Drosophila melanogaster: one gene and its partners. The protein of the gene in region 2 interacts with the protein of the main gene of each other region in a pairwise test. Each region holds a gene or a part of one and is shown on either strand. Other genes may lie near its edges.

Evidence for each region.
Region 1: the proteins of qsm (region 2) and NKCC interact in a two-hybrid assay, tested with the Drosophila melanogaster proteins (one large-scale study listed by BioGRID).
Region 3: the proteins of qsm (region 2) and Ptp4E interact in a two-hybrid assay, tested with the Drosophila melanogaster proteins (one large-scale study listed by BioGRID).

The regions. Positions count from the first base shown.
Region 1 is NT_033777.3:5,499,687-5,504,679, forward strand, and holds the start of NKCC (sodium potassium chloride cotransporter), read right to left. Parts: upstream 3,017-4,993; 5' UTR 2,611-3,016; coding exon 2,351-2,610; intron 1-2,350.
Region 2 is NT_033778.4:20,580,486-20,585,528, forward strand, and holds the start of qsm (quasimodo), read right to left. Parts: upstream 3,107-5,043; 5' UTR 2,865-3,106; intron 1,648-2,864; exon of another isoform or gene 1,545-1,647; intron 1,167-1,544; 5' UTR 1,149-1,166; coding exon 1,076-1,148; intron 1-1,075.
Region 3 is NC_004354.4:4,937,394-4,942,213, forward strand, and holds the start of Ptp4E (protein tyrosine phosphatase 4E), read left to right. Parts: upstream 1-1,734; 5' UTR 1,735-1,807; exon of another isoform or gene 1,808-1,911; intron 1,912-2,043; exon of another isoform or gene 2,044-2,139; intron 2,140-2,187; exon of another isoform or gene 2,188-2,282; intron 2,283-3,028; 5' UTR 3,029-3,253; coding exon 3,254-3,454; intron 3,455-4,820.

The DNA of each region.
Region 1 (4,993 bases), on a different chromosome or scaffold from region 2:
TGCCTTGAAAATCCTGATTAAGATGGAAAGTCTGAATATTCTCTAGAGATACACTAGCACCTCTGATAAATTACAATAAAGTGTAATCCTCACTTTCTTATTCTATGTATTCGATCCCCATTGCTTTTAGATCGCCGCTCGGCTTGTGAATAACTTATGAGTGTTTATTAATTGTAGACAGAATCTGTGGAGGGCGTTTTTCATTGTGCTACTAAATAAATTGCAAGCATTCAGCAAAGAGAATCGGACGTCTTGTGGCTTTTCCTTCGATTCCATTTCCATTTTCACTTCCAATTCATTTGCCAGACGACGGAGATACAGATACATTCGGCTAAGATACACATACATTCCTCACGACTATGTTTATGTACTATAGCATGTAAATATTCTCTAGATGCTCGTTCATGACGTATATGGGGGTCCAGTCCAGGCCATCGAGGGGCATTGATTGCTGGCCGGTTTCGTTGGGAATCAGCTGGTCCGAGTTAGTTCAACACAATTGGAGCCGGGCAGAGTTCGATCAATTGAACTCATTTGCGATCGCACTCTCCGAACGACAGTCGTAAATTTATTTGTTGACACGCTCATCCTTTTGGAGAAAGCCATCTGAGCTGCGAGCTCCGGAACTCGCGGAATGCAAGTGATCGCTAGCTCCGATGGCGATCCTTGTGCCAAAAACGGCTAATATACCCGACGTGCTCAGAATTTAGATAAGTTATTATATTATTTTTTGGCGGGCTGATGATGTAACTTGCTTGCCGTGTGCAAATTTTCCGGGAAAACAAATCATTGGCTGTCATTCTTAATCCGGAGGTCTCCCAATTTTCGGACAGATCTTTGGCAGCTTTTTATTGCATTTAATTTGAGCACGAGATTGCGTATTATCGAAAGTGGAACAATTGCAGCAATTAATTCGGGGGCTTTCGACGGGGTCTGGGTCGAAATCGTTAATTTGGGCCAACAGCCAACTGTCATGTGGCAAATTTGAATAATCAGAAGTGGAAAAAATTCGAATTAATCCAGAAGCAAGTTAATTTGGAAGTGATCTGTGACCTTTTTTTGAAAGTGCTTCATGTCGGAATGTTCGTCATGTACTTGAAATCATTCACATGAACTGTATGTTTTCAAACGGGTATTTATATTTGCCATTCCTATTTAATCACACAATTAGCTTTTAATAGCAAGTGAAACATATTAGGTGAACCTACCCTAATATTCTACAATCATGTATTTATATATACTAGTATAAACTGAGATTGAACCAAGTGAAAGTGGAGTGCATCAATCGGACATTAAGTGCATCCAACTTCGGACAATGTTGCTCTTGTTGAGCCTTTCGTTCTGTCATTATTTTGGGTTTATGTGCCAAACGTGATTACAATAAATTGGCATAATGTAACCTTCGTTTCGGTTATGCAAACGGAATGTTTTCGTTTCGCTTTTCATTCACATATCACACAATTTTGACGTGTTTTATTGTCTGTTTTAAGGCCCAGTACAATGGCATTTATTTATTGTGCACTGCAAACAGACTGAGTTTAAACATGTGTTCGCACCTCAATTGAAACTCATTACGGAGAGTAAAATTAATGATTAATTTGCTTTGGGAAAACTCTAATTAATTGTTGTATTATTCCTAAATTGTTTCAGACGCGAGTGTAGACACCACGTGCGCACTAATGGATGGAAATAATGTATCTCAAGCTCCTAAAAGGTATCAGCTGAATCGCAACACTTTTATCTTGAGAGTAAATCCCCTCAATCGAAGCAATTATCAAAAATCCAACAACTTGTAAAATCGGATGTTGAAAATGAAAATTTATTTTCAACACGCTAACCGCTGAGAAAACAGAAGAGATTGTGTCTTTTATATTTTCTCTTAATTTACATCTTAAACAAAACTTCCATCAGATGTCGACTATAAGATCAAAGCGTAAAAATGTTTTTTTAATTCAAGTTCTATTATTATTTTAGGTAAAAACACGAAGATGAGAACCTGTAAGTAAAATATAATGTGAAATACAAATTAATTGAGCTACAAAATTCCCCAAAATATGAATAGTTGTAAAACCATTGCATACTATGACATAGGGTTTCCATTCCTTTAGCGAAAAATCCTAACTGGATAAATCGTTGATAATATCAATATTCAAATTCAAAAACAATATTATTAACGACGAGAGTCCAACCGAAGAATATATATATATATATATTTTCCGATAACTTCAATTAACAACAAAATACCATTGATTAGAAACGACGTTCCGGTTTTTCCACCTGTGCCGACACATTTTTAAAGCAAATCGCTCGCATTTTAGCCGGGAATGCGTTAAATTCAAATTAAACTTACTTTGTTAGCTGGGCGAGACTAAACTTGCGCTCGGCGTCCGATTTGCGCAGGAAGTTACCGAATCCGCGGAAGGAGAGCCGGGAGCTGCGGCGGTTCTCGCCCGTCTCCCCCGAAGCCTTGGGATGCAGGTGGTTTTCGTTGCTGGTGGGCGGAAGTGGGTGGGCTGCGTCCGTCTGGTCGGATTCAGCTGATCTAGCCTCGCCATCGTAGCCGGCGTTCGCGGTGCCGTTCACCTTTGAGATCTGGAAGCGATCGGCCATGGTGTGGCTCTGGGGAGTCCTGCACTTGGTTGCTCAGTGGACCCTGGACACAGATTCTTATCGATTGCACGGGCACCTTGACGCTAGCTAACGAGCCGAGCACATTTGCATTTCACACACTTGGCAGGATGAGAGCGCCCCACTGGGAGTGGATGATATCACAAGGAGCGCGAATCGAAGGACCGAGTTTACACGTCCGACTGCGCTTGACCCTCAACGACGATTGTCCGGATATTCAGAACGCATCGACCACGTCGGCTTGTTTTGGGTGTTTCGGGTTCGGTTTCGGATTTGAATTCGGGTTCGTTTTTATATATGTTTCTGAATCTCACGGGAAACACTCCGATGATTTCTCCGTGGCGGCTGGGCAATTGCAACTTATCGCGCCGACTGTCGCACGGCGTTTGAGCGTTGTCAAGTGTTTACCGCCCGATTATTATGGCTTTTTGCGCCAGTCAGCTGCTCCTCTGCTTCCGCTGTGCTGTGGATTTGGCAGCGGCTGCTTCAGTTCGAACCAACTTGGCGCCCGCGTGGTGAGTTTCCAACAAGTGTTCGGGGCGAACTCACCACAAGAGCGCTCTCTGTGCGGAGCGACGAGGAAAGCAGCGCGATTCGGGAAAGAACCGTTGGCCAGGAGGTCCGACGGCGGGATACCCGCTCTTTAGAGGGTCTAGCGGGCGTATACGTAATGTTGCAACGCATACACAGAAAGTAGTTCGAGGTGCAGAGTACAGGGGAAAGAAAAATTCTTTGTTATGATAGTTAATTGGTTAATTTTACGTAAAGAATTTTATAATATGAAAATACTATGCGTTCTGTTCAAAGTTCCTTAAAATTTTAATCTTCATTTTAGAGCTTACACAAAATATTCATGGTAAAATTTTGAAACTTTAGAAATTTTAACCAACTAATACTTATCGGATTATTACAACATTTTTTCGTTCTGGAAAAGGACTTTACACTGAGAATATTTTTTGTTTATTTTGGGTAAAAAACAAAACAAATTTTATAGAAATATTTTATATTTATTTTTCATAAATATTTCAAACCTTAACAACTTTTCAAATTTATAAGCGTACTTGATAAGTAGTAGAATCAAAGATTTTGCTCTATATTAACATTTTTGTTGTCGACAACGCAAACGAGATTAGCGAATCCAATCTTATTATTATCGTTCCATTTCAGATGACTGTCATTTAGCCACACAGTTTAAACGCAGAGATGATTGTGTGTTGATATTCAATCAAACTGACATTTTATATATTTTGTTTTTCCCCAAATATTAAAGTTGTTATTGTTTATCTTTGTTTCGTTTTATTCAAAGGCAAAAAGGCCTTAACAAATAAAACTAAAATATGCATATTTCCCACTCATTCATATTCGTTTAACTTCTGTTGAATAAAACGTGATGTGCTCTGTGGGTCACAGCTGAAGACGAACCTAAACTAGCGTCGAAGGAGCTGCGTTTCTGTGGTCCTAAATAAAAACATTATCACTTGCTACAACACCATTTTGTCGCTTTGATTCGGGTAAGAGTTTAGCACCTTGGCACCTTGGTTCGTGGATACGATTCGTTTGCGATTGCGGCAATTAGCTCGTTTCGTTTGTTTACCGAATTCATTCCATACTCGCGACTCTCCACACTCATTCACAATCGTTCGCGCACTAAAACTTAGACACTCGTAACATCTTTACTATCAGCCAAGTCAAGTTAAGTTAAGCCCGACAGCAACCACAATAAGGGGGCAAGAGCACGCGAATAACCCCCTTAATCGAATTAAATTCGGTTTTATCTGGTTTGATTGGCCGGCTGCTTGGCTGGATGGTTGGATAGCTGGTTGACTGGTTGGTTGGTGGGACTGCTTTTTGCTTTTTGCTCTGCGTCACCGAGGGGGATTTCACGAAGAGCCGATCGTGGCGAAAAGAGTTATTTTTACCAAACCCAGTGAAGGTTCCCTCCCCCGAACCATCCCCCAAAGTCGGAGGAACGACGTTCTTTTGTTCCCTCCAGTGCTAAATCTCATTCTTGGAGTTTTCACTTTGGTTCATGAATGACATTTTGCAAATTTTGGATAGATGGCCAATCGAACTTTCAAAGTAATATATCAAAATATCAATAATAAACAAAATTATTAAATTGAATATTAATTATATCATATTTACAGCTGGCCGGTTTCGGTAATTCGGAACATCTAATCGTCTAAATTATACGCCCAATTTCGCGACTCATTGTTTTTCAATTCTACTGGTTAACCCCAAAGTGTTAAACATTTTTGAATAAATTATTTCAAACTTTAACACGGTATAAACTAACACTTTGATCATCACAATAGCTAAGCACAAGCTAATTAGTTGATTACCCTTTATGGCTGCTTTGATATCA
Region 2 (5,043 bases):
AACGCTGAGGAGCTGAAACTCGGACTCTCGGTCTCGCTTGGTTTGTCCGTAAATTACAGCCTCGTCTGCACCGTTTCTATATATGTACATATATATATATTTATTTGTTTGTTTGTAGCCCGCGAGAGAGATGTTTTCGTATCGGCCTTATGTATTTTTAGGCTGCATCTTAATTCCCGGGACCAGTTCGCCTACACAAGTCGTCGATTGTCGCCCGTTTTGGCTGTATTTCGCCTTTAATTCTTCATTTTTTCTCGCGTAATATTTTTTTGCAGTTAATTCTCCTTTCTGATTGCCTTTTAATAAGACAACCCCAGCCGATTCTTGACCAGTTGAGTGTGGGCTTTATTATGAGTACTGCCCCTTTTTTTCGCTTTGTTTAAGTATTTTTCTCGTCGATATTATCTTGTTGGCTGGACTGTGCTTTGTTTTTTATTTCTTTGTAATATCTTATTTTTTTTTGTTTTGGCGTGTCATGTTGCCTTCCCAGCACTTGTGTTTGTGTAGGTGTCTTGTTTGGTCTTTTGTTTTTTCGCCGCGCTCGCTTGATAGTTTGTTTAGTCGTTTGTTGTCTTGGCTGTTAAAGGCAACTTGCAGGGGCAGGCAAGTTAATGACTAATGTGTTAGGGCTTTCGAGGGATATATGCCTTATACAATTTAGCATTAATATATGGCAGGAAGCGTAAGAACGAGTGAGTGAATCATGACAGGGCCGCGCTGCCAAACTTCATTAAGTCGCCGCAAGTTCGTTGCCTCAGTCATTCGTTTTTTTACCAAAAAAAAAGCTCCAGCACGCCCCCGACAAAACCGAAGATCGTTTTATTCGACCATCACTCCAAATGGCCACAAATTGTGTGTGTATGTGCACTTCACGACCAAAAACGAGGTCACTTTGTCGGTTTTTCAACAAAATCGAAAAGAAAAAATAAATACTTATTGTGTTTCATTACGCGAATGACATCATGGCAGCGCTATGGGAGCTTCTCAAGCTTTTTAGCCTTGCACTCCCCGATCTTAACTCTGATATTTATATTTAAATTTTTGCGTATAGTATATAGATAGAAAAAGTGCTTACCTTTGGCCTGGGCTAATCCGCAGAATAGGGCCGCCAGCCACAGAGAGCGCCACATTTGCATTGAGAGCAGCATTTTCCAAAATTTCCGGATCTAATTGGTCGGGGTAGAAACGGAAAGACAAACGGCATATTATTACAAGCATTTCGAACGAACCGAAGCCGAAGCAACGGCACATGCTCCACAAGCGGGCCAACATTTTATTTGTTATTTGTATTCTTGGCCTGGCCTTTTTGACGTTTTCACAGACACAATTCATATATGTAGGTACCATAACATATATATGTACCGCATCGCAAACACACACAGCGAGTTATTATGAAACAAAGCCAGAAGAGAATGCCCGTCAAGTGGCTTGCGGCGACCGCTCAACAAATCAAAAACCAATGACAACGGCAAATAAAAAACGAAACGAGCCGCGAACCACACACATATCACACAAATTCACACAAAACTCGGAGCGGGTCTTACTTGACGGCTGCAATATGGGGAAAACTCGGAACTCGAGACTCGAAACCACACCGAAGAGCACACCACACGTCCAAGCTGTTCGCTAGTCGCCAGGCAACTGAGGCTCAGCTCGGCTGCAACTTCATTACCTCGGGAATCGAGAGCCGGCGTATAGAGATGCTGACTCAGTTTCAGAGCAGAAGTCGTTCTTATATGGCAGAGAGTGCAAAACTATAGTGAAAGCACTCAATGTTAACCAATTGGTTAATTACCCAAAAGAAATGTAATAAGTACGTATGTATATAAGAAGATAAGTGTGCCGTTTTATCCGAATTATTGCAACATAAATCTATATGCATTTTTATTATATTATGCTTTCATTGGTAAAAAAAAAAATCCTTAGAAAATATTTTAAGAATTTTGAATAAGATAGTGTTGAATAATTATTTAACAAACGGAGTTTTCAAAAGTTAGCTATAAACTAGCTAGTGAACCAACGCTCTTAGGCATTAGAGCGTGGACAGTGGGGAAAAATGCTAAGGCGCCATCTAGCCCCTGGCTGTTCACAGTGCATAAATAAAGCCGGCAATTACGAAAGTGCTACATTACAATTTATGGATATACTTGAATACATTTAGATAAGCAGAGCACAATTAAAATGACCCACTGTAAGTCGCTCTCTCGCACGGAGCATCTCTGTCGCACGGCGAAAAAGAGAGCGACTTTAGCAAGTTAGCTTAACCGAGAGGCTGTAAAATACGGTAAAAGGATCGCTCTCACTACCGCTCTTTTCCGCTCTCTGCCGGAGATAACAATCAGCCGGTAAGTTTGTATAATTTTTTTTTTTGTCCCATGACAAAAACTGAGAAATTGTGGGAGCAAAATCTTACAAGCAATTATGCAATCTCGTCTCCGGCTTTTTTGTTGCGTTTGCTGTTGTTGTTTTTGTTGCACTCGCTATTGTTGTCAAAACAAACATTTATGTAATTGCGCTCGCTGTCAGCACGAACTGCCGGTTCGTTCTCAACGGCCACAGATGAGAACAGGGAAGTAATAGTTTAAAATGAGCTAAATGCAGCAGCTGTTATGGATATTTTCCCTATATATTTCGCTATATGTACTAACGGTACACTTACACTTCCGCCAAAACTAAAACCGTTCTTCAGCTGGTCATCTACTGCATTTTCCAGAGCCCAAGGCGCAGCCCGTGAACCCAATTTCACACCTCTTGATTTCGCGCGTGCTTGGGCATTATTCATGATTCTCCTACTTGTTAGTTTTCCAAACCAATGGCCATCCCATCATTAAACGGATTAGAAACATTTATTTGTGCATACTTACTGGCCATACACTACTGGCCCTCTTGAAAAACGGTAAATGACGTGCAAAATAAAGGCAACCAGCCGAGCGCACTAATTTAATTTGCTAAATTCAACTCAAAATGCCTTATTATTACTTTGTTGCACCAGTTGTACGGGAATATTTAGCTCAAGCATCGGCCAATATTAAGTTAAGCACAAATTGTAATAATTAAACACTTGCCACTTGCAAAAGAAATTAACCAAGTTCCCCGTTCCTCTTTGCACACAATTTGCCGATCTGGCAAGTCTGTGACGAAGCGAAAGAGGAATGGGGAAGAACCGCAACAGCTGTCATCTCGCTCACACCTAACGGATTGCGGATTTCCGAGAAAAGCGCAACTGGATTTTTATAATTTTACGATTTCACAGATTTAAATGTTGAAACATTGGACATTTAAAGGCCGGGAAGTGTGCAATATAGCTAAGATATAAATACACTGACACACGACCCGCCCTGCAAATGTTTATGTTTTCGCAAACACTTTTTTTTCACTTTTCGATGTTAATTCTTGATATTTTCAGGCCGGTGAATGTGCAATATATTCGACAAATGAAATATTAACCCATATACCGTCCGAAAAATGATCTAGAAATTTCGATTTTTCACCGTCTTGCCGCCTATTGCAAGGAGTTTAAAAACACAACAAAACTAATTACTTTGCTCATAAAATGATTCGTTTTAAAGTAATCAGGCCGTCTCAAGTGCAATACTAGTTAAAAAATGCAGAATTGCCCTTGTGACGAACCAAATCGCTTCAAACTTAATTCACATTTCTAATAATTTAAAAATGCTAATTGTTAGTATAAGGCAGTTGCTAACATTTTCGGGCTGTGAAAAGTGCAATACTCAATGTTAAAAAAACAGTACTGCCCCCATCCGCAGCAGAAAATTGTTGGCTAGAACGATGTCGGGTAATACGTTTCAAACGACCACTCGCGACGACTCTCGGAATTTGAATGCCGGGGGCAAAGAACGCAAAGAAGATCCCGAAAAGGAAAAATCACAAAACGGGACACAATGGAATGCAGAGGTTTAGAGCGGGATGACAGTATGAACTTCGAACTCTCAAAACATCCAAAGTTTTTGCTCTACTCTACAACTTTCGGGAGAGAGAATATTCAAAATGGCGGCAACGCGAGGAAATCGAAGGAATTCGCGAGATACACATTTTTTTTTAACACTTAAATATGTATGTACATATTTTAATGAATCGTTAGCTTAGCTCGTGAACTTTTATAATAGCAAACAGAATACCATATTTTTTTGCCCTTCGATTTACTATTTTGAGTTGATGAGTGATGAAATATCACATTTTTGTGTTTTTTTTTTCAATCTGTGCACTTTGGTGTAAGTTTTCTGAAAATAAGTAAGACGGGAATGCCAGTTTTGTAAAAAACACAAAAATAAGCATAACAGCCTTTACTATTTTAAGGAGATTATGGCAAATGTGAAAAAAATATCACATTTTGAATTTGTACACTTCGGTGTTAGTTTTCTAAAAATAGGTAAAAGACGGTTATGCCAATTTTGTAAAACAAACAAAAACAAGCATAAATATCACATTTTGTCTTTTCTAAAAATAATTAAAATTGGGTTTTCTAATTTTTTAAAACACTCAAATATAAGCATAACAGACTTTTTCCTATTTTGAGATTATGGCAAATTTGCTTAAATATCACATATTTGTCTTTTTTTTTTTGATTCCGTACACTTAGGTGTTAGTTTTCTAAAAATATATTAAGTATGTTACACAGATTTTGTAAAACACCTAAAATATGCAAAACGGACCTAAATAATTTTAGAAAAAACCAAGTTGAGTGGCGATTTCTAATGCAAAACCAAAACTTTCCAAACTACAACTTTAATAGGACGTTAAAATATGTATTAATAGGTGTAGTTGGGAAAAGCCTGAAACTGCAGTGATAGTTTTGATATCCTACGCAGGTAACTTTCTCGAAGTACTTAGTACCAGAAACGTGTACTTTACATAAACATAAAAAATAACACTTTGCTGATACCAGGCACTTGGGAAAATCATGTCTAGATTTGTCAACATTTTAAATGGCTTACCAAGAGATGTAAGCTCCTTCTCCGTCGACGGTCAAATCGAAAAGAACGGACTGCTGAATTCCATTGAACTCGAAATCTTTGTGACAGT
Region 3 (4,820 bases), on a different chromosome or scaffold from region 2:
TGGAATTCTCATAAGAATGTGAAACAGGTTTCGCTCTCATAACGGTATCTGCATACACATACACACACACACACACAGATGAGCCGTAATAGCCAGGCAAAAACAAGAAAAAGCCGGAAAAAGAAAGTAAAAAGGCAGAAAATGTTTAGTTTATATTTCTAGAGCGAGAAAGAGAGAGAGAGAGATATGGGGACGTAGAGAGCGACTGTTAAGTAATACATTTGCAGAGAAAGCGCGCGCAAAAGACACAAGAAAAAAAAACACATTTGCATGTATTGTGTGCTACTTATTGATGGCGTTATTTTCTGGTGTTTTTCGCACAATTGCCGCAGTTTCTGAACGCTGCTTTTGACATTGGAAGAGTTCAAGCGGCTTTTTTTTTACGAATTCGATTTAAACTCATTTTCGATCTGCGAAGGTCAACAGCAAAACAAAATGAAGCCGACTGCACGCACACCAAGGCAATATTTACACAGATACATTCACCACAGTTGTATGTTGCTTGTGTTGCTCCTTAAATATGTTACATATTTAACATATATGATATGTTGTGACAATCAAATAGTACTTGCAATCTTTACCTTGGTTGAGCCGCTCGATTTTACAACTGTTATTTATCACACTTTATTTTCAGTTTAAAATGCACTTTTTCGCTTCCTTTTCACTTTTGATTGCTACTGACATCAACTTGACGTTCTGCTAGTGACTGTATGTTAGCTCCTAACAGCTTCGGCAATTTATCGATTAGTGCTGTTAACGCTACAGCTACCTAACAGAATTAAAGAAATATATTAAATTTAACAAAAATACTGAATACAGCTAGCTGGTCATACTCCTGTTTTACATTTTATTTAATTTACGAATACGTTTAATTTAAATTTTGTTGATATATAATTTAATAAATTTTTTGGTCTCAAAACGTCTTAGCTAACCCCACACAAAACCACTTCGAGATTATTCTGAGGTTCTACGAAAAAAAACTTGTTATATATACAGAGATATATGTATTTTAAAACCAAATAAAAATGAACCTGTATATAATAATACCATAAGATAGCTACTTACTCTACGAGCTGTGAGCCTTGAGTGCCGGTGCTCATATAACTTTCTTAAGCTTGCTTGATATAATTTTCATATTGCATATCTAAAAAAAAATAAAAAAATAATTATAAAATTTTTGTAAAAAGTTCAGTAAAAACAGTTTAATTCACTTATTACCTGGTATTTCCTTCTCTGCAAATATAAACGAATTTTAGATATTTTCAAATTTGTTTGAGTTGGTGTGTTCTGTTTATTATGAAAACATGGATACATTTTTAACAAGTGCTCAAAATATTATTTTATTTACTAAATATATCAATATATAAAATAAATTGTATTTTCTATTAGAAGACTAGTAATAAAAATGACAAAGTTATAATAATACCATTGGAAATAATTACCAAATTGCAATTTTTGAAATTGCAAAGTGTGACTGCACGAATACTTGTTGAATATCAACTGCATGAATTAAATTTCGCTTTCCGAATCAACGAAACATCAAATTTGGTCAAACATGAGCAAAACATGTCATATAATATTAACAATATATTCTTTAAGAAATTTAACAATTTTAAATAAATTATGAGTGACCCTGTGTTGTGTAAAATATGTGGTATTTATTCAGTATTTTTGGGTTTTTTTTTCTGTTTTTCGGCAGCACTGCGCGGCGGTCACGCCTTTGTATTGTATTTATATTCATTCGTTAAGCGACGGTCGTCCAAAAAGGCAGAAAATGTGGAAATTCATTGATGAACAGTGGTGAAAAGTGCGTGCAGTCATTCGCTTCAATTTGTCGTGGCCGATTCCTTTTCGCAACCAATTTTTCTTATTTTTTTTCTTGTCAGTAACAAGTTGTCGGTCAATAAAAGTGTCAGTTTATTTTCTGCATAATAACGGTTACTAAAGCCTAAATTTTTTGTTTGTGACTTCTTTTTTTTTAAACAAATGCGCCGACGCGCCAGAAGTTTATATTCTGTTTTTATGTTTTCCGCTTAAAACGAAACGTGACTAGTTTGTTTTAAATTGGTGTGCAACGAAAACAAGAAGAAGCGGATGAAGAGGGTGGAGAGGAGAGGAAGCAGAAGAAAAAGAGCAACAGTCAAGTGAATTAGTTTTTTTTTCGTCCATGCCGTCGCTGCCAACGTCGACGCCGTTGCGCCGCCGCATTTAGTCATTGCATCAGTGTGTCCGAGTGTGTGTGTGGCAGAGAGAGCGAGTGGGAGAGCAAGGGTGGAGTAAAAGTAAATGCGTGCAATTAGCATTTAATGCAATCACCATTAACCGCCTACTATTGTAATTTATATTACCCTAGTACCTGTAATTTACACATACACCTACACACACACCTGCTCAGCTAGTGGTAGTGCAAATATGAAGTGCAAAAAGCGGCGGCAACAACAATTGTCTGTTAATTGCTGGATATTTCGTAATGCAGCAACAATAACAACGGTAGCAAACTGTAATGCCACAGTGAAGACTCGCTAATCGAAACTTTGTCGGGCATATTAACCAAATTCGTTATATGTTTGCATTGAATTTACATTTCATATATTAACTTCTAAATCTCGTTAGATTTACATGCTCGCGTGTTCAATAGCAGGGAGGGCCCACTGTACTTGTAGTGAAGCGCCGTTACAGCCACAAATGCGTGTGAGTGTGATTATGTATGCATGTGTGTCTGCATCAAATCACACACTTGCAGCGCTCATGCACACGCACTTGTACTTGTGCGTGGCTCACATTTCCATAGCCAGCCGCTTCCCCCTCCACGATCAGTGTTGCTCTTCACCTGCAGCTTTCGCTTCTGCTTCTTCTTCTCCCGCACGCATGTGCCGTTACAAATTCGCTTGGACATAAATCATTTTTCGTGCATTAGCCGGCGATTGTTAATGGAAATCGTATTAGAAAACAACAATTACAATGGGCCCACATCTGCCGCTCTCGCTCTCGATCGCGCTCATCATTGCTCTCCCGTTTCCCGTTACAGAGAGTGCAATACAAGTGCAATATTAATTAAGTAATAGAGGAAACGTAATATGCGTGTGCAATACAAACAAATGACCATGTAACGGCCAACAGAAATGTATATGCAATACAAACGTACATACATGTGTAAAACAATAAGCGCAAAACACCGCCCATCCCCGCTTGAAAAGTAAAACCAGCAATCTGCGAAACCTTCGACCATCATTGGGTTTTACTGTACTTGAAAATGGACTGTGCCACGCGAAAACAACAACAATTACGGGCACATCATCAGCAGCAACAAATACAAATACAAACACATGGACGAAAGCGGCAGCAATTACAAAAACAACGCCACAACCACCACCACTACTACCAAAATTCACAACAACAACAAAAACATTTCGTGTGGCTTGTTGTTGGCATTTTGACAATTTTTTTGGCTCAGGTGAGTGAGAAAAAAAAATGAAGGAAAAGAAACAACAACAAAACATAGTGATAAAGATAAAGCGACAGGTAAACCCGCAAAGTTAGTTACCTCTATGATTTGGGGGAAATTCGTTGGGAAAATTCTGAGGACTCCTAATGGATGGCGCAGGGTTGTCAAAAATATTCATATTTTAACTAATTACAATGCAGATTTCATAGATTGGCCAGCAACACAGACAATTTGCTAATTATTTTGAAATGTTTTTTTCTGTTTTTATTGATTCTTTTTTTTTCGAAAATTACAAGCCAACTATTTTCCACATTTAGTGGCAGAAAATGTCTTAACTGGGTTTTTGATTCGCTGAGTGCGTTTTAGGAACTCGTTTGGCCGGTTCTAGTTGTGATTTTGGCTGGGTGTTATGTTATTTTAATATGAACTCGCTCAACCGCTCACTAAAATTGAACTAAAATTACGATAAATCCAGATTTCATATAAAATCGAATAGTGAGATACAAATATTTAATGTGTTCAATATTTCAAACCAGGTTTACTTGTTATCTGATCAAACTTCGGTAGTCAAACTATTGATTGCATAGCTCGAAATCTTTAAAGGCAATTTAGAAGCGCAAATTAGAAGTTTAGGCCCAAGTCAATTTGAAATGACACACACAGGTGATGAATCCGGTGATTAAATTTGATTTTGTTGGGTGATTTGTGGGCTTATTCCCGTGATTATTCCTTGTTTTATTGCCTGAGTTTTTTTTTTTACCTCGTTCACAAAACTCGTTTCATTTCGTTTCGTTTTGCATTGTTGTCGCATTGTTTCAGCGCAAACGAAAGACAATAAAAACAAAATCCCAACCATCGCAACGCAACAAGTAAAAAGTTAAAAAAAAAAAAAAAATGATGAAAACACTAAAAAGCGAACGCAAGTTAAAATCAAGGTTGGTTCTGATGACGCTGTCCATCGCAACTTCCTCACTCTGAAAAAATTTCAATACGCTTATCGAGCGATTCCCCGAGATAGCCCAGCATAGTCGTAAACTGTTTCTAAGCTTGAAATAATAAAAAATAAAAAAAACTATAGAAATCAAAGCCTTAATAAATAGATGGCAAAACTTGTATCTTTGCTGCTGCAGTTTGTGTATTCTTTGTATCTCAGATGATCACAACAACAATAAAGTTGTCCCTGATTTCGCAGTTTCTTTGGCCACAATAACTTGAATGCACTGCCGTCTTAGTTTTGTTTTTTTTTTTTCTTTCCACATGCTTCATATTCATAACTCACGTGTTTCTGGCACTGTGACTTTGGCTTTCATTTTATCTGGGCATTGCCGCGATTGCGGATCGCAGGTCATTACGTGCCGGCTTATCGCCCGAACTT